Linked DNA regions of Canis lupus familiaris. The protein of the gene in region 1 interacts with the protein of each later gene in a biochemical or structural test. Links are inferred from orthologs where the notes say so. Each region holds a gene or a part of one and is shown in the gene's direction. Other genes may lie near its edges. The genes, in order: CD2, CD58 and CD2BP2.

Region 1 (6,867 bases):
CCCATGCACCCAAGCACAACAGAACCATAGCCCCTACCCCGCCATGTGGGGCCCAGCTCCCTGGTGGACAACCTTCCAAATCACAAACCCAGAACACTTCTTGGGAAGCAGAAGTGGGATCGTTTTGTTTATTGTGAACTTTTTTTTTTTCATATTCACTTTGTCCATATCACGATTCACTTAACCAATTTCCTCCTTCTGGACGTTTAAATCGCTTCCAACTTTGGTAAAGCATACGACAGTGGACAAACTTAGAACCAAGTCCTATAAGCCCTTCGTTATTTCCAGAGGATAAACTCGTTGTTGTGGACTTGTTTGGTCAAAATATTAATATTGTTGACACTTCTCATTCACACTGCCAGCTGTTCCACCAGAAACTCCATACCTGTCTGTATTTCTTCTGGCTATCTATAAGGAGGTTCTGTTTTCACCATTGTCAACACTGTATATTTCAATTTTTAAAAATGAAAGATGAATATCTAAGTTAAAACTTACTTTTTACAAAAATTAATAAACAGAAGACTTTTTCATGGCCTTATTGCTCAACTGTATTTCTTCTTTTGCAAATGGTCCCTTTTATGACCTTGACTCCATTTTAACATTGAAGTGTCCATCTGTTCTTTCTACATTTACACACACACACACACACACACACACACACACAATTTTAAGGATGTTAACCTTTGTCATACATCTTGTCCCCTTTAGTCCTTTGTGTTTTAATGTTTCTTACAGGCTTTTATGTCTGAAACTTTTAAACTTTACATAGTCAGATCCATCAATCTTTCTTTCCTCATGGTTCCTGCCCTTGAAGCCATGCTTACTACCCAGAATTGAATGAGATGCAAGAGTAAATTATTGTTTGAAAAAGAACTGGGATGCCTGGGTGGCTCAGTGGTTGAGCGTTTGCCTTTGGGTCAGGTCATGATCCTGGGGTCCTGGGGTCCTGGAATCCAGCTCGCTGCTCAGTCTGCTTCTTCCTCTCCCTCTGTCCCTTGCTTGCTCTCTCTCTCTCTCTGTCAAGTAAATAAATAAAATCCCCCCTCAAAAAAAGAATCTGCATACACTTTTGAAAAAACGTATCTGAAGCATCCTTTATTTTAAAAAATAAATAGATAAAAAACTTTGCATTACAAAACTAATGTGTTTGTTAACAGAATTTCTGACTTCACAGAAGCAGGTAAGTATAAAGTGCAAATTTCTAATTGGCCTCTTCAAAATCTAAAGTTTTAAAAGAGGAGCACTGTTAAATTTCAGCATCCTTCCAGATGCTGAACTAGAATTCTAGAATCCTTCTAGAATTTTTTCCATGAATTCAGTAATTATGTAATGTGATATGATACAGTATAATCATCACTTTTTAGTCTACTTTATCCTGTTTTGACCATTGTGCAGTATTTCATAATATGAATCTGCCATCATTTTAGGTGTTTGCAATTTTCTATTACAGAAAAATGCTACAACAAATGCCCTTGGACAGAATGTTTCCACATTTATGTAAATACTTGTGTAGAATAGATTTCTCAAGTTAAAATTACTTAGGTAAAAAAAAAATATATATATATATATATATATTTTGAAGTTTGATAGAAATTGCCAAATTTCATCCCCCATGAGGTGTGGATTTGTACTCCCTTCAATATTATATGAAGGTGCATGTTTCTACCTGTATCCTACGTAAACTATTATCTTTTCTAATTTGGCCAATCTGGTGGTGATAATGGTATTTCATAGCTGTATTAGATATCCTCTGATAAGTTTATTGACATTTCTTCTATTAAGAATTTCTTCTATAAACTGTTCATTTGTATCTTTAAATTACATTTTAAAAACTGAGTTTTCTTATTATAGTAATAATTTCCATAACTTGTATATTAATAATTTTTCATATGTATTGCAAATATTTTCCATCATGTCTTTTCATTTTGCTCATCTCTTTGCCAATAAATAAATATTACGTTTTTATTCATCAATTTTGTCCATTTTTTCTATATTACTTTTGGATCATATAGCACATGTAGGTAGGCCTCCTATGCTCAAAGATATGAAGATATATTTCTGTGAATGTTTTTTAGCACTATCACAGTTTCTTTAACATTTAAGAATTTAACACAATTATAGTTTATCTTTGTGGGTGATGTGCATTAGGAATTTGTCAATAATCACGAAGTAAATATTCTCTGTAGGTATCCTTTCACCCAGTGGTTGAGATCCATTGCTTTCACTTAACTTCATTTTCTGGGAAGCTTTCTAAGAGGTAATAACCACATTTGTGCCTAAATTTTAAAAAAAGCAAGCAAGCATAATTTTTAAGATTTTTACTCTATCCTAAGGAAGCACAAAACGACATTTACTTTGGAAATCTATCATTAGGTTTCCCTTTTTTCTGTGGCTGGCTCTCTTGGTGCATTTTTTCTGTGTACACTCATCAACACATCACTTTATTTCTCTCCCCAAATCATAAATTTCTTTCCTCTTTCTCTGAGTCCTCTCTCACTTGTCCTTTTCTCTGTATCTCTTCCTTTCCTTAACCATCTATAATATTAACCATTGTAAATGCTCTGAATGATTCGTTCTGGTTGTTTGACAGTATTCCAGACTCTTTGTGTTTTTGTTTATTTAGGAACAAGTTTTTACTTACTTAACTGGATTTCAATAGAGTTGTAAAATATACGTTGAGCATAAGATCTGGGGATTTCAAGCATTTACAGCTGAGACTCAACTTACATTTCATTTTAATCACAAAGAATTTTAGAACCTCTAAAACACCTTTAAAAGAAGAGAATAAATCCATTTTCATAATTCTTTCACGTGTATACATTCTCCGATGCTTGTAATCATAGGATAAATATATGCTGCTAGTCACTAATGAACTTATTATGGTCCTGTTAGAGGTGGCATAGCAGAATGTCTGGTTAAAGCAGGCTGTCTGGTTAAATCTGGCTCCTTGTTAACCAAAAGGGGATCCTGAATGATTTGCTCAGCCTCTTGGTTCTTTTTCTCTTTGACGGGGTTAATAAAACCCACCCAAGGTTGTTGTAAGGATTAAAATGTGATTAAGAAGATACTCGCACATAATAAACACACCTGCTTTGGTAAAGGAGCATCAGCAGGGTTGGTTTGCTGAGTGTGTGTGTGTGTGTGTGTGTGTGTGTGTGTGTGCTATGCTACTGTAAAAGAAGCAAAAAAGAGAGGCACGTGGTTCAGCTCTCAGAGGGTGGATTCCACTGGTCTTACTTTAGTTCCTTTTGCAGGAAGAGCTCAGAATCACAACAAGGAAACTAACCCCAAAGATGAACCTCGCATGTCAAATCTTAGCCAGCTTCCTTCTGATTTTCGTCTTTTACATCAAAGGTAAGTTGGTGTGGGTCTCCGTTGGAGACCCAAAAGTAAGCATGAAAGTCAAAAAGTCATAGCCTAAAATTTCTCTGGAAGTGAGTCTCGAGATCTCAGTAACTGTCTTGCTTTTTATAGGTGAGGTCCTTGAAACCAAGCTTGTCTGGGGTGCCCTTGGTCATGACTTTGACCTGGACTCTGCTGGTTTTCAAATGAATGCTAAGATAGACCATATCCGATGGGAAAAAGGCAAAACCAAGGTTGCAGAACTCAAAACAGGCATACTTAAAGACACACATGGAAAATACAACATATCAACAAACGGATTTCTGAAAATTAAACATCTGATGATGAATGACAGCGATATCTACAAGGTGGCTATATATGATAAAGATGGAAAGAGTGTATTGAGAAGAAATTATCAATTGAAGATTCAAGGTAAGTCTCATTCCCTAAATTCCTCCATCTCAGTATGGGCGCTACTTAGCAAGTTGGGGAATAACATTTATGGAATGGCCCCAGCCTGCCCTTGGCCAGGGTGGGGGAGCCCTAAAGGGGAACTAATGCATCTCTCCCACCTCAGGGAGGGCTCCAGTCCTGTGGAAGAGATGGAGTCTCCGCATGGGGAGATACACGGCCAATAAAAGTTCGACTCTCTTTGCCGAAAATGCTCTCTTCCATGGTTATGGGGATGTGGAGCTGAGTGTAGAACCTAGATCAAGGTGGCATTGATCAGGAGGAGAGGAACAGGTGGGAAGAAGAGAAAAGTGGTCATTTCAAGTGGATGATGAAAAAGCAAGCTGGGTGTGGAGCAGACTAACTGGAAAGAGGTGGGTCGTCCTTTTAGAGAGACATTTCAAGCCACGATGCCCTGAAAGAGTATTTATATGGCAGGAAAGGGCTGGAAGTTTAAAGATGAACAGCCCTTGTTTCAGATCTGCTCAACATCAGAGTGATGAAAAGTGGAAGATAATTTGGGCTGATGGTTACAGAAAATACAGCAGGTGTGGCCGTATGTGTGTGATGCCCTGGGAGTGCTGGAGGGCCTGTTGAAGATGAGCCTGGGAGCTGCTGCTACAGTACCAGTGGGGTGTGTGTGGGGGTAGGGTACTACTTGGGGATTCTCAACTCGGGCTGCATGTTAGAGTCAACTGAGGCCCTAGGAAAAGTTACCGGTGCCTAGGTCTCAGCCCAGAACAATCAAATCAGAATTTCCTGGCATGGGAGCTGGGCTAAAGCTCCTCAGCTGATTCTAATGGGCAGCCAGAACCGACGACCCCCCAGAGTCGATAAGGGGTGCCTGGAAAATAGGGAAGTAGAGTACATGAAGGGTGCTGGATGGAGAAAGAATGGGCAAGATGGCTTGGGTGCAGGAGACAAGGAAGAGAAAGTGAAATTGAAATGACATTGACGTTCAAAGCCTGGGGACGCTTGGCAGGGCTTGATAAGGAGAAGGGGAAGAAGGCCTCAGTTTGGAGAGGAGGGCAGGAACCCCCCATGAGCAAAAGCCAGAGATGCAGCGAGCAAACAAACCAGTATTTCTGTGCTTCACACAGGAAATGTCGCTAGAGGCAGGGCCCCTTCCCCCTCCCCAGGGTCACCTTCCAGCCCTGCTGTCAGCACGTGGGCCTGGCAGCAGCCCTCCATTCCAGCTCCCCGTACCCAGTTCCCGTATCCAGCTCACGTGACAACTCTCCGTACCCCAGTTCTGCAGCCTTAAATGGAGAGCACATTCCAGAAATGGTGCAGTACTGGAAGTGGCCTCTGCTCAGGGGCTCTGAGAACACCGATCTCATGACTCCTGTCCATACAGGCTCAAGTGTTCCCTTCCGAACAGGAGCCACACATCTGTGTCTTGTCTAGTAACGCCCACGGTGATAATGGCTTACCAGCCGGTGTCAGATGCTTTGCTCCATGATCTTATTTAAGTTTCCAGACAACCCTGAGAGCTAGTTGTTATTGTCCTCTTACTATCTGGAGGGAAACAGAAGTGACTTCTCCACAGTCTCACACCTTGACAGGAGTGGAGCCAGGGTGCAACTCCGGGGCTTCCCTTAATGAGGATGGTGACATTTTTTCCCCCTCAAACAGCTTTTTGGAGATAGAATTCACATACCAGAAGTTCACCCACTTGAAGTGTACACTTCATTAGCTTTGGGTATATTCACAGAGCTGTGCAACCAGCACACAGTTGATTTTAGAACATTCTCATTACCCCCTCATTCCTTGGCCAAAAGACAGATCTTTCCATGGCACAGCAGCCGCCTGGTGTGTGTGTGTGCCAGTGTGTGTGCCAGTGTCACACAGCATTTTAATTCAGTTTGTGGTTTGGTCCCTGTTATTTGCCACATGGCTTCAGGCAAATTCTCTGCTCCGAGTCTGATCTTTGTAATGATAGGTCCGTGGGATGTACAATGAGACAAGGAAGCAAAGGTGCCCTGCAGCACTTGGAACCCCATACCCATTTGCAAAATGCTAACACCCTCCCCCATCCCTGTTTCTTTATGCTGCTCATAGCTTCAGTTTCTGTACCCATATCTCCTTACTGGTGGGGCTGCTGCCCCTGGCCAAAGAGGCATTGGAAGCTCTCTTAAAAGCATGTGTTAGGGGAGAATGAATAAATCCCAGCAACCTAGAACTAAGGCATTCTCATCTATGTGATGTGCCCCCACTTGATCCAGCCATGCTTCTTCCAGGAAGCCACCTCACAGGGAGAATATGCACAAAGACGTGGCTTCAGGAACCTGGTCATAACTGTAAGGTTTATATTAGTGAAATACTGGAAGGGATTGCAAAGTCCCCAGCAGGTATACATTAAATTAAGAAGACATCATCTAAGAGATGATAGAGGGTGAATATCAATGTCCACAAAGGAAAGAATTTCATAATAGATCAATGGTAAGGACGAAGCAGTCTCCAAAATCATCTGATCCCGTTTTAGTTTTTAAAACATTATTTATATATGTATTATGTATAGAAATCACCTGGTAAGGTAAGGATAGACAACAAAATATTAATAATTATTGGCTCTGGGTAGTAGAATTGCATGTGATTTTTAATCTTGCCGCATTTTGTTGCTTCTGATCAATTTTTACCATGACTGGTTGTTAACCTTATAAATAAAAAAAGATTCTTTCCATTTTAAAAAGACAAGTAAACACCTTAACTTGACCCCTAGACTCTGCACTGACCCTGCCTTGTTGACCATCCATCCTCTTCATACTGAATCACCCAGAATCTTGCGATGGGAAGAAAAGTTCATTTCTGCATGCGGATATGTTAGGGCAGAAATGAAATCTGATGGAAAAGTTGATGGAGAAGATCCATTGGCTGGGAGGCAGGCAAAGAGGGAGTCATTGACAAAGAAGCCATCCAGCTGCATAATGAATGGAGAGAAGTTGAGAGGAAAAGGTGGCAAGCCTGGGGAAGGGGAGTAAGGGTGAGATCAAGACCAGAAGAGAAGAAAAAAGGAGGAGGTCACAAAAGTAAGAAGTGGTGGGGTTAGGATTTGGACCTGCGCCATCTGAAGCA
Region 2 (6,819 bases), about 160 kb from region 1:
TGTGGAAGAAGATTTCCTCATCTATGCCTTTGGTGTAAATCTGCCCTAGTGTTTATATAAGCGAAGTGAAGGTACATTTTCACAAGAGGCAGGGGGCGGTTTCCATGTATGCAGGTTTAGGATCCGTGTTTTGCTCAGTTCATTCTGGGATTTTTAAGTTTCCTGGGGTGTAGTTCCAAGGTTGGCAAGAACTAGAGCCAGAATACCAGAAAGGAGCCCTATGCCACATGAGCAGGCTGGATGAGCCCTCCTTTCTAAAGCTCTGGTTCATGATTATCTACAGTGACAAGCAGATAAGACTGGAGCTCTCAATACAGGCCAGAGGATGAAAAACACATCCACTCTCCTTTTGGGGGCAAGTCCTCAATATATGAATAGAGCCTCTTTGGCCCATTGCCCAACTCGGGTCCACCTTTTCAAGCCGCTTTTGATTCATGAAGTCTGCTAGGCATATAAGCTCTCTTAAAAATGCTGTAGAAGGGACAGCTGGCTGGCTCAGTCGGTAGCATGTGTCACTCTTAATCCTGGGGTTCTGGGTTTCAGCCCCATGTTGAGTGTGGAGATTACTTTAAAAAATATTTTTAAAAAAATGCTTGATGCACAGCATTTCTCTTAATGAAAAAGCTGGCACTGTTCTGCTAGTCTTGGTCAGCAGAGCATCCAACCAAAGAAGACCTAATGAATCATTCTTTACTCGAAGGCCGGAGACCATGACCTGAGGCATACTTCTCAGCCCCACGTGACTGGGCAAAATTTTCCCCAGCCCTGCTCTGGAGATGGTTGACCGCTCCTGCTGGCTGGTCCAAACGACAGCATGGTTGCCTATCTGAAAGTTGCATCCTGTTCTGTATGACGGGGTAAGAGTCGTGCTTTGGATGTAGCTTTAGTTGGACTCCCAGTTTTGCTCCTTACTATGTGTCCTTGGGCAAGTCACGCATCTTCTCTGAGTGTCTGTTTTCTCATTTGTGAATTTAGAGACAGCAAGAAGATTAAATTAATTGGGGGTAATGCACTTAATGCAAGGCCTGGCTTAGTAAGTGCTCAGCATACGTTTGCTGTTACATCACTTCTCAGTTTAAAAATATTCAGGGGCACTCTAGTGTCTAAAAGTTTGACCCTATCCTAACTTTCTCAGTTGGCCTGAGTTCCTACTAGCCCATGGCAGAGCAGAAACTTGATTTTCTCCCATTTTGTGCTATACACCGCACCTGCCTCACGTTCCAGTATCTACAGATGGTAGGGATGTTTTAAGGTAGGATACTTCATGGTACATGACGTTTGTCCCCCACATTTCACTGATAGAGATACCTTTAGGATTTATGGTTATTTATTTATTTATTTATTTATTTATTTATTTATTTATTTATTTATTTATTTATTTTTGGTAGGCTCCACACCCAGCATGGAGCCCAACACAGGGCTTGAACTCAACAGTGCTGCATCAAGACCTGAGCTGAGATCAAGAGTTGTGTGCTCTAGGCGCCCCTAGATAACTTAAGATTTTTTTGGCTGACTTAAGAACTAATGAATCCTTACAGTATAGTTCAGATGTCTTGAGTAGTTTGGGGATCCTGGCTTGAGGATGATGGAGATGACAGCAACAATATGGCAATTTCCCCTGTTTCACAACTGACAGGTTGGTGTTTATTAGGACAGCAGGATATCCTGTTCACTGGAAGAGCTTCAGAGTTCCCTTCCCTCCCACAGCTGGGCAGGAGCAAGTCGTGCTTCTCTCTGAAAGGGGACAGACGGGAAGGCATGTGGGGAGCTGGTTCTGGGAGTTCTTTGACAAATTTGACAGACAAGCCAATCAAGAATTCTTACCACCACTAGGCTAGGGGGCGCCTGGGTGGTTCGGTGGGTTAAACGTCTGAGGTGGGCCCAGGTCAAGATCCCCGAGTCCTGGGCTGGAGCCCCACATTCTGGCTCCCTGCTCGGCGGGGAGTCTACTTCTCTCTCTGCCCCTTCCGCGGCTCATGCTCTTTCTCTAATAAGTAAATAAAACCTTTTTTTTTTTTTTTTTTTTAAGAAGATTAAGCACTAGGATGGTGTGTCCAGGTGCCTGTTGCAGCTGAGGTGGGGGGTTCTGGGGGGAGGCCCAACGGTGCGGAGCGACTGGACCGACTTCTCAGCGTAAAGGAAAGCCCACAGCTGAGTTGGAGGAAGAGGAAAACAAAGAGGAAATTGAGAAGGGAGAAACCCAAGGCTAGGACCCCCAGCTCTGGGGAAGGTAGTGTTGGGGGGGTCGGGGGGGGGGCAGGCTTAAGGAAAATGTGGCCTGGACCGGAGTGACACGGGCGGGGCCGGCTGCACCAGGTAATCAGGCACGTTGTAGCAGTTGCCCCCAATGCCCTGTGCTTTCGTTCTACTCCCCCAGGACGGTGACTGGCAGGAGAAGGCGACTCCGGGGGGCGGGGCGGGGCGGGGCGGGGCGGGGGGCCGGCGGCTGCGGCCGTTGCTCCAAGCGCTGCAGGAAGCCTTGGCAGCCCCTCGGTGCCTGCGCAGTTCCCCTGGCACCTGGGGGCCAGCTTCGCGGGGGCGGTGAGCGCGGCATCCCGGGCTACCGAGGCCTCCGTCACGTCCCAACGTCCAGGGAAAGTGCCGGAGGAGCGCGAGGCACCGAGATAAGCCACGGGGCGCGGTTAAGCGTCTGCCTTCAGCAGGTCGTGATCCTGGGGTTCTGGGGTCGAGCCCCGCGTCGGGCTCCCTGCTTGGCGTGGAGCCTGCTCGCCCTCTCCTACTCCCCCTGCCTGTGCTCTCTCTCTGTGTCAAATAAACAAAATTTAAAAATCCAAAAATGGATAAATAAAAACGTAAGCCACTTTGGAGGAGGAGCTCCGCAGAGCAGACTGGTGGCAGCGGAACGACTCTGGGGTCCGGGTGGGCGCGCGACCGCACCGCGGGGAGAGGAGGCAGGCGCGGGGGCGCAGCGGGGGCGCAGCGGGGCGGGGCCCGAGGCCGGGGGCGGGGGCGGGGCAGGGGGCCGGGCCCGGGGCGGGGGGCCGGGACGGGAGCCGAGGCCGGGGTGGGGCGGGGGGCAAGACCCGGGGCGGGGGCGGGGGCGGGGGCCGAGGCTCGGGCCCGGCGCGGGGCCGGGCGGGGCGGGGGCGGGGCGGGGGCGGGGCGGGGCGGAGTCCGGGGCGGGGCCCGGGTTTGAGGCCCCGGCCACCCGGGAACCCATCGTCCGGGCTGAGTCCTGCCGGGAGGCCTGCCGGCCGCGCCATGGCCGCAGGGAGAGCGCGGGGCGCGGCGGCGGGGGTGCTCTGCGCGATGTGCCTGCTGCTCCAGTTCGGTGAGTGGAGGCCTTCCCGGGCTCGCCGGGGCCGGGGCCGGGACCGCGCTGGGGGTGTCGGTGGCCTCGGGGCTCCGCGGCCGGCGGACGCCCCGAGTCGAGGCGGCTCAGGGGGACTGGAGACCAGGAACGCAGCCCGCGGGGCGAGGCGGGACCTCGTCCGGCCGACTCGTCGCTTCAGTCTCCCGTGGGCCGCCAGGAAGCCACTCTGACCTTAGGCACGCGAATCTTCGTTGGGAGGAGGGGCGGGACTGCGCTCCGGGGCCGGGCCCGACACCCCCGTCGTGCCCGCTCGGGGTTCCTCCGGAAGGGTGTGCCCTGGCTGACGTTCCAGGGACTCTAGGTCGCTCGTGGTTCCCCCCGCCCCGCCAGCCCCAGGGGACCGTCGCCGAGCCCTCGGACGGCCCTTTCACTGCTTCCGCGGGGCTGAGCTCTCCCAGGACCGGCCCCGGCCCCGGCCCCGGGTCGCACCTGCGCAAGGACGCGGCTTATCCGCGGCGCGCCCCGAGCGGAGGAGGGCGCAGGAGCGCGGCTGCAGCCTGGTGCCGGGGCCCCGCCGCGCCCCCGTCACCCCCCGTCCCCCCCCGTGACCCCCGCCGCCCTGCTCCGCCCGCCCCCCTTCCCCCCCCGTGCCCCCCGCGCCCCAGCCGCGCCCGCCCCTGCGCCGCTCCTGCGGGCCGAGAACCCGGCCTGGGTCAGCGAGCCGCCGAGGGAAATGTCTGAATCTTTCCGGGGTCCTGAGCGGGGCGGCTGGTGCTCCTTTGCCCTCCCTTGAAAACGTCAAAGAACTCCACGTGTCTAGAACGGAGTTCATCCTTTTCCCACTCCTTGTGCCCGTCTCCCTTTTTGCCTCCCCCCCCCCCCCCCCGCAAAGCCCTGCACACGGAGTCACAGCCAAACTCTTGGAGGGAGCACAGTACTAAACCCTTCACTACTTCTTCTTTCCTTGAGGGTTTCCTGTTGGGGCCCGCCTTGCACATGCTACAGATCAACCTTGCATCCTCATTTCTGCCTCAGCTTCCGTGGAGTGCTGTGGACCCGCGTCTGCGGAGGACAGCCTAGCGGGTTGGGGTGCAGAGATAGCACAAGTGCCTACAGTACAAGGCACAGAAGTAAATGGAAGTCACGCTGAGCATAAAATGCGATGGTCGTGCACAGGGAGGGGACCAAGGTCTTTTGTGAAGTCAAGTATTTCTTGTAAAGCAGAGATTCCACGGAAGGAAGGATATTTGAACCTGTCCTCTGAGGATGGGTGGCGGTGTGGGCGTGCCATGATGTGGGGAAAAGGGAAGCAGCATGTACAAGGTGAACCTGGGCAGTGAAGAGTCCCAGTCCCAGGGTCTCCAATGTCACTGGAGCATAAATGTGCCCATAGGAGCTGGAGGCCCCACGGCAGAGCCCTGATCCAAGCCCCATTGGGAGTGTCGATTATCTTCTGCAGGCAGAGAATTCTTTCTGGGCCTCACAGAATCAGAACCGTGCATTGAGGAGGAATAATCTGGCAGCAGTACAGAGGAAAGGGTGCAGCTGAGAGTAATTGGAGGCCCGGATGCCATCACAGGACCCAGAGAGCTCTGAGGCTTTCCTATGCCGGTGGAAAGTTCTGTGAGCCTGGCTTGTCTCGGAAGAGAGAGAGTACCACTCACTGGTGAAGAAGGGTAATAATAGTGTGTACTTCCTAGAGTGTGAACATCAGTCACAAACACGTTCTTACTGATTGTCAACTATGTGTTGGGCACTAGACGTGAGACCTGGGCTGCAACAAGGAACAGACTTCCCTGCTTTTGTGAAGTTTACTTAGTAGTGGGGGAGAGAATCAGTAACTGAATAAATGAGTAAATATGTACATGTTGGGTGGTGGTAAACATTTACTAATACAGAGATTAGTAATTTGGAGGAAAGGGGTGTGGGCACAATTCGTATTTCCTTTTAATTCTTTAAAACTTTGGAATGTTGGAAATGTTTAGAACAGTTGCAAAAAACAATGTGACAAACACTAACTTTTCTCCTGAAATCCCCAGTTACTAACATTTTTGACACATTTGGTTTACTTCTCTCTGTTTATACACACTTAATTTTTTTGTCTAAACATTTGAGAGTTGCAGATCTTATGACACCTCACCCTTAAGTATTTCAGCATATGTCTTCTAAGAACAATATGTCTCCAGTAAGCCATGGAACCATGATCACAATCAGGAAACGCACCATTGATACAATACTGTTTTGTGATAGAGTCTATAGGCTGATCCAGGATCACACACTATATTTGGTAGTACTGCCTCTTTAATTCCCTTTAGTCTAAAACTTGCCAACTCTCTCTCTCTCTTTTTTTTTTGGTACTTATGGTATCACTATTTTTCAAAGGTCTAAATCAGTTTTATAGAATGTCCCTCAATTTGGATGATCTGTTTCCTTCTGATTACATTCTGGTTAAAACTTTCAGGACTGTTCCATAAGTGTGTCTTGTCCTTCTGTGTGCATCCCATTGGAGAGTAGATGCAGTCCATTTGTCCCATTATTGGAGACCTTAACTTTGGTTCTTTGGTGAAGGTGACCCACCAGATTTCTTTATCACAGAGGCACCTGTTCCCCTTTATAAATTATATGTGGCTTATCAAGTGACACTTTGAGATTGTGTGACTCTCCTGTGCCGTGACAATCTCTCACCTGGTGTTTTAGCATCCACTGGTGCTACCCAAGTCCATTAAAATATTTGTAGATGGTGGGCACCTGGGTGGCTCAGCAGTTGAGCATCTGTCTTCGGCTCAGGTCATGCTCCCAGGGTCCTGGGATTTAGTCCCACAATGGGCTCACTGCAGGGAGCCTGCTTCTCCCTCTGCCTATGTCTCTGCCTCTCTCTGTGTCTTTCATGAATAAATAAGTGAAATTTAAGTTAAATAAAATATTTTTATTTGGCAGTTTCCTATCCCTAGTTTTCTTTCTACACTGTGGACATTCTTCAGTAATGAAGAGCTTTTGCACCCCCTTTTAATTTCCTTTTTTTAATATAAGTATGGAGCCATGATATTTCTGAAGATGATATTTTTGTCATCTATTTTAATGTGTGGTGGGTGATCCAGACTTGGGCAAACGGGGACCCCTCTGTGCTTCAGTGTTCTTTGCCATGTCTCCATCTATTTGAGAATGTCCTACTTTTTGGCACAGAAAGACGTTCTGGACTTATTTTGTACCTTTTCTGTCTCAGCCTGTAATCATTAGATTCCCTTGTTCCTTTTAGTGGGAGATGGGCTTTAGAAATCAGTATCTGGGTGCTAGTGCTCAGAGCTACAGGAGTCATGGTTTCTAGGCTATCAGTTCTTATAGCTAGGAAAGAGTTTTCACGAAGTCACAAGTCTACCCCGTTACTGCTAAAACTAATCTAAACATGTGGTTCATCTTTCTCTTCCTTCATTCCCTGTTTCTATATCTCTTTGCCACAGTGAGAACTCTGTTCCTTGTAGAATCAGTGTATTTTCCTAATATACATTAAAACACAAAATAGTTTCATAATTGCTCTACCAGGACCA
Region 3 (6,998 bases), on another chromosome or scaffold:
ACTGCTGAGGGACTACATCCATCCCTTCCTTCGCCTACTGGCAATAGCACCCCACTGGCTCCCAGCAAGGAGACTCGAAGGCAAGAGAAAGAGCGGCAGAAACAGGAAAAGGAACGTGAGAAGGAGCGGCAGAAACAGGAGAAAGAACGGGAAAAGCAAGAGAAGGAGCGGCAGAAGTGGGAAAAAGAGCAGGAGAAGGAGCAACAGAAGCAGGAGAAGGAGCGGCAGAAGCAGGAAAAGAAGGCCCAGGGCAGGAAGCTCTCACTGCGTCGAAAGGCAGATGGGCCCCCCACCCCCCAGGATGGTGGGGACAGGTCCTCGGCATCTGAGGCCCGGCAGGATGCTTACTTCTGACCTCTGTTTTGGGGCTGGACTGCATGACCTCCCTCTTTTTTCCTCAGTCCAGAGCAGGCCTGGCCTGGGGTGCTGCCCCAAGCCTCCTGGGCCAGTGGTCACTCTCTCTGGGGAAAGCAGTTGGCTCCCCATCTCCTTTGCCAGCCACTGGTCCCTACACAGCTGGGACAGTGGGAGCGCACTGGGCAGCCGCCTCTCCTTGGGACAGCCTCGAATAAGTCTGGAGCCCCTCACCTCCAGTTAGGTCCAGCTGGGGTCTCTGTCACTCCTGCCCCAATTCCCTCTGGGGTCCTTCCCAGGTGCAGTCCTGATTGGCCTTTAGTCACCTCAGGGGTGACTTGGCGATGGGAATCAGCAGTTTTCAGATTCTTACACTCCAGTTGCTCCCCTTTATCCGTGAGTGGAGCCGGGTTCCTTTTTCCCTGCAGCCCTGCCCATCTCCCCCTCTTCCTGCCTGGGGGCCAAAGCTCTCCTCGCTCTACTTTCGGACATCTCTGCGTTGTAATTATGTACAGAGGACCTGGTGGGTCCAGGGTGGGGGTGTTCGCTCTATCTTCTGTCCTTTAGTTCTCCTTCTACAATGTTCTTGCACTCATTTATTTAAGGGGACATGCCTTGGAACAGGAAATGCCCCCCCCCCCCAACCATCCTCCTTGCTCTCTTTCTTCTTCACCACCTTCCTGTGTATTCTCAGGCCTCTCCTGCTTTGTCTCACCAGGGTCCCCACCTTTTACATTGTTTCCCTCCAGCCCCTATCTGGGGAAGGGGTCTTCCCTTGAGCTCCAGGGGGTGGAACCCAATGTTTACATTCTCTTCTATCTCTGCTCCTATCCTATGCAGCGCTTTGAGGAATCAGAAAAGAACCTGCTGTTGTACCTGGGCCCGTCTCCTGCTTTGTTATTTGATAGAGGGGGTTAGAATAAGGACTGGGCAGGGGGTGGGAAACAGTGGAGCAGGCCAGGATCCAGGCATCTACCGAAGCTGTGGGCTGGTCTTGGCACGTGGGTACCTCTTGGCCTTTGGTCCACCTTTCAGTCACTCATCAGCTGCTGAGCTCCTGTTCCTCTTTTGCCTGGGATCTGCTGCCCCCATTGTTAGCCTGGGGCCCTCTACGCACCACCTGCAGCACCCGGATCTCCTTTCCAAAGTGCTCATGCAATTCCTGGAAGCTGGAGGGGATACCGAGGGTGGCAAGAAAGCCACAGTCCTCTGGGGGTGAGCTGGGCTCTTGGCCAGCTGCCTGGCACAGCTCCCGGTACTGGGCCTCCAGGGGGGGTAGTAGCGCCACCAGCCGCCTCCAGCTCGCCCCAGCTAGTGCCCACAGCCAGGCTCCCAGCTCTTCCTGGTTTTCTGCTGCCAATTTGTAGGCACGCCCAGCTGTTCCCTCAACCCTAGGGGTCAGTATGGTAAAGGCATAGGGTTCTGTGGCCCCAAGGCGTGGCTCCACCCGACAGTTTTCCAAGAGAATGAGGCCCAGGGGTGTGTGGTCCGCCTGGTTCTCCAGGTAGAAGAGGAGGTTTCCCCGGAGGATGAACCAGCGGCGTTGATAGCTGATATTTCGGGCTCCTTTCTTCAGCAAGATGCCCTCGCGGTCTGGAGCTTTTCTGTATCCACGGAAGAAATTGAGTACGGATTTCTGGTGCAGTTTCATGGTAGTCCAATCTGGGAGTAGACCTTGGGGGCAGGAGAGAGAGCTGGTCCTAGCCTAGTGGGATTTAAGAGTGTCCTCAAGAGTACAGGTCTTGCTCCCCCCCCCCCCCCCCAGCACTGGGGCCGACACCTCCCACCTACAGTTCTCCCCTTTGGGCTAGTTTACAGACCCTGGGCAGGGGCCGCTGGCCTGGACCCCTATTTGCTTGCGCCTGTAGTTGGAGAGACGCACTGTTGCCCTTTTCCAGGCCTACCTGAAATCAGGGCACAAGAAACTTCGGCCTGGGTACTGGACACAGGTACCACCGTCACCTTTCCGAGACGGCTCTTCCCACCTCTCAAACCAGGAACTCCCCAGGGGATAGGTGTCGGGTAAATGACTTCCCCCGGGTCCTAAAGAGACCTGTGTTCGGCAAGTGCCCCGGAACCACCCCGGGCCTCCAGGCTGGCCATCAGAACCGGGTCTTGCCTCGGGGAAAAGAGCAGGGCCGCACCTCGGGGTAGGAGTGGACTGGACTGGACGCTGAGTGGAAAGGAAGGGTTTCCAAGAAGATTCTGGTGAGGGGCGCAAAGCCCTTGGGCAACCCTGGGGAAAGTGATTCAACTATGGAAAGGGAAACGGGCCATTGTCCCACTTTGCTCCTCCATCATGGTCCTGGGCGCCCCTTTAAGTAGAGTGCGCTCTGCTTTCTCCCCAGAGCCTCTGACTGCTGTCGGAGGGAATCGAAACCGCATCCGGCCATCTCTCTCGTCTGATCGGGGCCTAGGCGTTCGTACGTCCCCTGTTCTCGCCATTGTCGCCCCACACTGATCACGTCACTCTGGGTTGGGCGGGGAGGTGTTTCCCGCTCACTGTGTACTTCCGCCCGCTTCTCCACTTAGTCCCCTACCCCGAGTGAAGCCACTTCCGGCCTTCTCCAGCGCCTTCCGCAGTTCCCTTCCGGGTGATGGCGGCCGCTGCCCCGGACGTAGCCGTGGGGAAAGCAGCTCTCTTTTTCCTTCCCCGCCGGCCTCCCGTCGATCTTTAGGTGAGCGCGCGCCGGTGGGGTCCTGGAATCCTCGCGGTTCTGCCGCCCCTCTGATTTGTACACTTAGCCCGGGACAGTTGGGGGTCACCCCTCGGAGCCGGGAGTTCGGCGCGGGGAAGAGGGGGTCGGCCAGGACGCCAGGTCCTGGGTCCGCCCGGGCCCCGCGGGCTCTGAGGGAGCTGGGGGTGTAGGAGCCGGTGTCAGCCCTCAGAGCCTCGTCGCACCCAGGACTGCGGGGGCCAGGAATGGGGGGGCATGTGTGGGGGGTCTGTCTCCTTTCGTCAAGGGTGGGGGTTGCCCGTGGGAAGCCCCTCCGCGCGTCCGCCTCTCCGGCCCCGCACCAGCAACTCTTTTGGACCAAACCAAGTCCCCGGGGCCTCCTGGCGGCCGACTTCCCTTTCGGCCCCTGACTCTGCACCCTCTCTTCCCAAGCTGGATCTAGTGCGTACCAGGTGATTATTTGTTGTGCTGGCGGCCCTTCGGCGGTGAGTAGCCTCGCCCAGTTCCCTTAATCTGCACCCTTTCCCTCGCTCAGCTTGGCGAAGGCCCCTCTGTGCAGGCATGCCAAAGAGGAAAGTGACCTTCCAAGGCGTAGGAGATGAGGATGATGAGGATGAAATCAGTGTCCCCAAGAAGAAGGTGAGGTGGCCAGACTCCTGTATTCTGGGGAGGAGTGAGGGCAGGGAGAAGGAACTGGAGGCTAGAAGAGAAAGAAAGCTGGTGGGGATAAAGCGGTGAAAGGTCTCGCTTTTTCCATGTTCTCTGGGAAATGGGTTTGGAGAATTTTCAGTCTGAGAAAGCTTTGAAGAAAAACCTTCCTAGAGTACTTTGAGGAATAGCCGCAAACCTGCATCTCTCAACTTGCTGGCTCCTCACAGCTGGTGGATCCTGTGGCTGGGGCAGGGGGTCCTGGGAGCCGCTTCAAAGGCAAACACTCTTTGGACAGTGATGAGGAGGATGATGATGATGAGGGGTCCAGCAAATACGACATCCTGGCCTCAGAGGATGTGGAAGGTGAGCTAAACCCAAGAATTGTTGCTGCTGGAGGAACAGATGGGGTTTCACGGGATATGGGGTGGAGAAGGCTCTTGTCTGTTTTTGCTTGCTCAGCCTGGGCCACCTGTGTCTTTGGTGCAGGTCAGGAAGCAGCCACACTCCCCAGTGAGGGAGGTGTGCGGATCACACCTTTCAACCTGCAGGAAGAGATGGAGGAAGGCCACTTTGATGCTGATGGCAATTACTTTCTGAACCGGGATGCTCAGATCCGAGATAGCTGGCTGGACAACATTGACTGGGTGTGGCCCAGGGGTTGACTTTGGCTGGGGACCTGGAGGCAGCAAGTGCTGGGCTTGTGCCCTGCTCACGGTTTGTAAGAGATAACCGACCCCCCCCCCCCCACCCCGTTTTCATATCACAGGTGAAGATCAAGGAGCGGCCACCTGATCAGCGCCCACCTTCAGACTCAGAGGAAGAAGACAGCCTGGGCCAGACACCAATGAGTGCCCAAGCCCTCCTGGAGGGCCTTCTGGAGCTGCTGTTACCCAGAGAGACAGTGGCCGGGGCACTGAGGCGTCTGGGGGCCCGAGGAGGAGGAGGTGGCAAAGGGGGCAGCAAGGGGGCTGGGCGGCCTAGTTCCCCTCAGCGCTTGGATCGGCTCTCTGGGTTGGCTGACCAGATGGTGGCCCGGGGCAACCTCGGTGTATATCAGGAGACAAGGGAACGGTTAGCCATGCGGCTGAAGGGGTTGGGGTCCCGGACTCAGGGACCCCCTGACCCCACACCCCCACCCTCTCTGGACATGTTTGCTGAGGAAGTGGCAGAGGGGGAGCTGGAGACCCCAACCCCCACACAGAGGGGAGGTAAGATCAGAAGGCAGAGGAGGGGTGTTGGGGCAGGAGGTAGGGCACTTGAGGGCCAGATGGCTTTGCCTGTTGTTTTAGAAGCAGAATTGAAAGGAGATGATGGTCTGGTGGACGTGATGTGGGAATATAAGTGGGAGAACACAGGGGATGCTGAGCTGTATGGGCCCTTCACCAGCACCCAGATGCAGGTAAGCCCTTTCCTGCTTCTACCACTACCCCCCTTCCCTTCTCCCATGAGTCTTTCCCCAGCTCTGCTTTCCTTTCCTGCAGACCTGGGTGAACGAAGGCTACTTCGCAGATGGTGTTTATTGCCGGAAGCTGGACCCTCCCGGTGGACAGTTCTACAACTCCAAACGCATTGACTTTGACCTCTACACCTGAGTCTGCTGAGGGCCCAGTTTGGTGGTCCCTTCTTTCCTTGACTCTGGAGGAGGCCCCAGCTGTCTCAGGCATTGAGGATTTTGGGGGCCACCTTTCAGTCCATTTTCCTTTCCCAATAAAAGCCTTTAGTTGTATGTTAGGGCCTTGGCTGTGCTGATGGCCAGGAGCTAAGGTGCTTCATAGCCCCTTTGGACTTGCCTCATGAAGTTCTTCTTGGGAGTGTTTGGTCACTTGAGCCACCTCACCTTTGTTTACCATTCCCAAGGTAGAGCCAGGGCTCCCAGGTGGCCTGTGGCCTTCCCACCTGGATTCTGCTCACCATCTCAAAAATCTCTTTGCTCACCTGCTGTTCTCCAGTACCCTCGGAGCAGGGTTCCTGTTTTGTTTTTCTGCAGTCCTGTTTTTAGAACTTTAGAGTCTCTAGCCAGTATAAGATGGAGCTTCAGAAGTAGAAATTTTTAGGCTTCAAAAGGGCTGAGACATATGCTGGGGGTGAGTGGGAAGCCTGGTACCCACTCCCTCCCCACCCCCTCGGGATCTCCAGCTCCTCAGGCGAAGTGTGAACTCCAGGCCACCTGGGCCAACCATTGAACAGACAAAGAGGGGCAGTGTCTCCCTGGAGCTCACACAGCAATCTGAGCATGACTTGACCCCATGGGTTTCTTGCCCAGACCTTTCTTGGCACCTTTGAGGCCCTGAAGCTTCCATTCCCTGGGCTCTCGTGGTGTGCCTGGTATGAGGCTAGTGCTTTGAAGGAACTCTCAATAACTAGGGAGCTGATCCACTTCCAGGAATTCAGATTCTGAAGAGTGGGGTCGGGAAGGAGACAGGTATCATTGAACCTGGACCTCCCACCTCTAACCAGTTTTGCCTTATGCCTCTTCTCTCATGCACCAGGTTAGGGGGAGTCCTCCACATTTCTACCTCGACTGTCCATTGGTGTCTCAGCAGGGCTGTAAAATTACTCCTCATGTTCTGAATGAATTGATCTAGGTAGTGGCTTGGTGGTTGGGACTTTGAAAAGCTTCCAGGTGATTCCAATGTGTGGATGAGTGGAAAACCATCGGGTGGGACTCCTGTGATTGGGTTCCACCTCAAGCGAGGGGCCTCTTCCCAAATCCTGCGGTGGTGGCAGAGGTGAACAGGTGTGGCCAGGGCTCCGCTGGAGTCTGTTACAGGACTGTGGAGCACCAGAGCCCCAGGTGGAAGGAGCCAGACTGGGAAGTAGGAAAGACAAGGACAGGGTGGGGATACTTGGTACTCCAGCAAGGTCTCCAACTTCTGTGATAATTAGGTCTGTGCTAGTGCCAGTCCAGACTTGGGTTTCACCGACTCCAAGATCCCTTCAGTTGTAAGAACTCTTTATGTGTCATTGAGGAAGAAAACCCTGCCAATTACATTTACGAGATGTCAATGATTAAAAGGTGCATCCTGATTTCAGAAACAAGAAAGGAAAAGCAGTACAGCTGCCACCTTTATAACCCCAATGACTGGCTTGTGGGAGGGGCTTAGTGTTTGGTGAATAGGTAGCAGTTCCCTTGAGACTGCCACCAGCACCTGGGGCCTCCACCTGGCCAGAACGGACTCCCATCTTCCCCTCACAGCGTCCTCCTGGGTTCACCCTTTTTCTTTTAAAGAATTTATTCATGAGAGACACACAGAAAGAGGCAGAGATAAGGCAGAGGGAGAAGCAGGCTCCACACAGGGAGCCCGATGTGGGACT

What was found.
Region 2: the proteins of CD2 (region 1) and CD58 form a complex in vitro, tested with the Homo sapiens proteins (3 studies listed by BioGRID and IntAct, with this or other methods). The link is inferred for Canis lupus familiaris from reciprocal best matches to the Homo sapiens genes CD2 and CD58.
Region 3: the proteins of CD2 (region 1) and CD2BP2 interact in a biophysical measurement, tested with the Homo sapiens proteins (6 studies listed by BioGRID and IntAct, with this or other methods). The link is inferred for Canis lupus familiaris from reciprocal best matches to the Homo sapiens genes CD2 and CD2BP2.

The regions. Positions count from the first base shown.
Region 1 is NC_049238.1:54,696,163-54,703,029, forward strand, and holds the start of CD2 (T-cell surface antigen CD2), read left to right. Parts: upstream 1-3,192; 5' UTR 3,193-3,293; coding exon 3,294-3,354; intron 3,355-3,474; coding exon 3,475-3,774; intron 3,775-6,867. UniProt on the Homo sapiens protein: CD2 interacts with lymphocyte function-associated antigen CD58 (LFA-3) and CD48/BCM1 to mediate adhesion between T-cells and other cell types. CD2 is implicated in the triggering of T-cells, the cytoplasmic domain is implicated in the signaling function.
Region 2 is NC_049238.1:54,534,921-54,541,739, reverse strand, and holds the start of CD58 (lymphocyte function-associated antigen 3), read left to right. Parts: upstream 1-3,133; 5' UTR 3,134-3,222; coding exon 3,223-3,292; intron 3,293-6,819. UniProt on the Homo sapiens protein: Ligand of the T-lymphocyte CD2 glycoprotein.
Region 3 is NC_049227.1:17,899,329-17,906,326, forward strand, and holds CD2BP2 (CD2 antigen cytoplasmic tail-binding protein 2), read left to right. Parts: upstream 1-2,494; 5' UTR 2,495-2,562; intron 2,563-2,702; 5' UTR 2,703-2,777; intron 2,778-2,886; 5' UTR 2,887-3,032; exon of another isoform or gene 3,033-3,189; intron 3,190-3,320; exon of another isoform or gene 3,321-3,464; 5' UTR 3,465-3,484; intron 3,485-3,567; 5' UTR 3,568-3,593; coding exon 3,594-3,671; intron 3,672-3,910; coding exon 3,911-4,046; intron 4,047-4,169; coding exon 4,170-4,327; intron 4,328-4,449; coding exon 4,450-4,891; intron 4,892-4,972; coding exon 4,973-5,082; intron 5,083-5,164; coding exon 5,165-5,275; 3' UTR 5,276-5,410; downstream 5,411-6,998. Other genes in the region: TBC1D10B (TBC1 domain family member 10B), read left to right, coding at 1-354; sesquipedalian-1-like, read right to left, coding at 1,397-2,005. UniProt on the Homo sapiens protein: Involved in pre-mRNA splicing as component of the U5 snRNP complex that is involved in spliceosome assembly.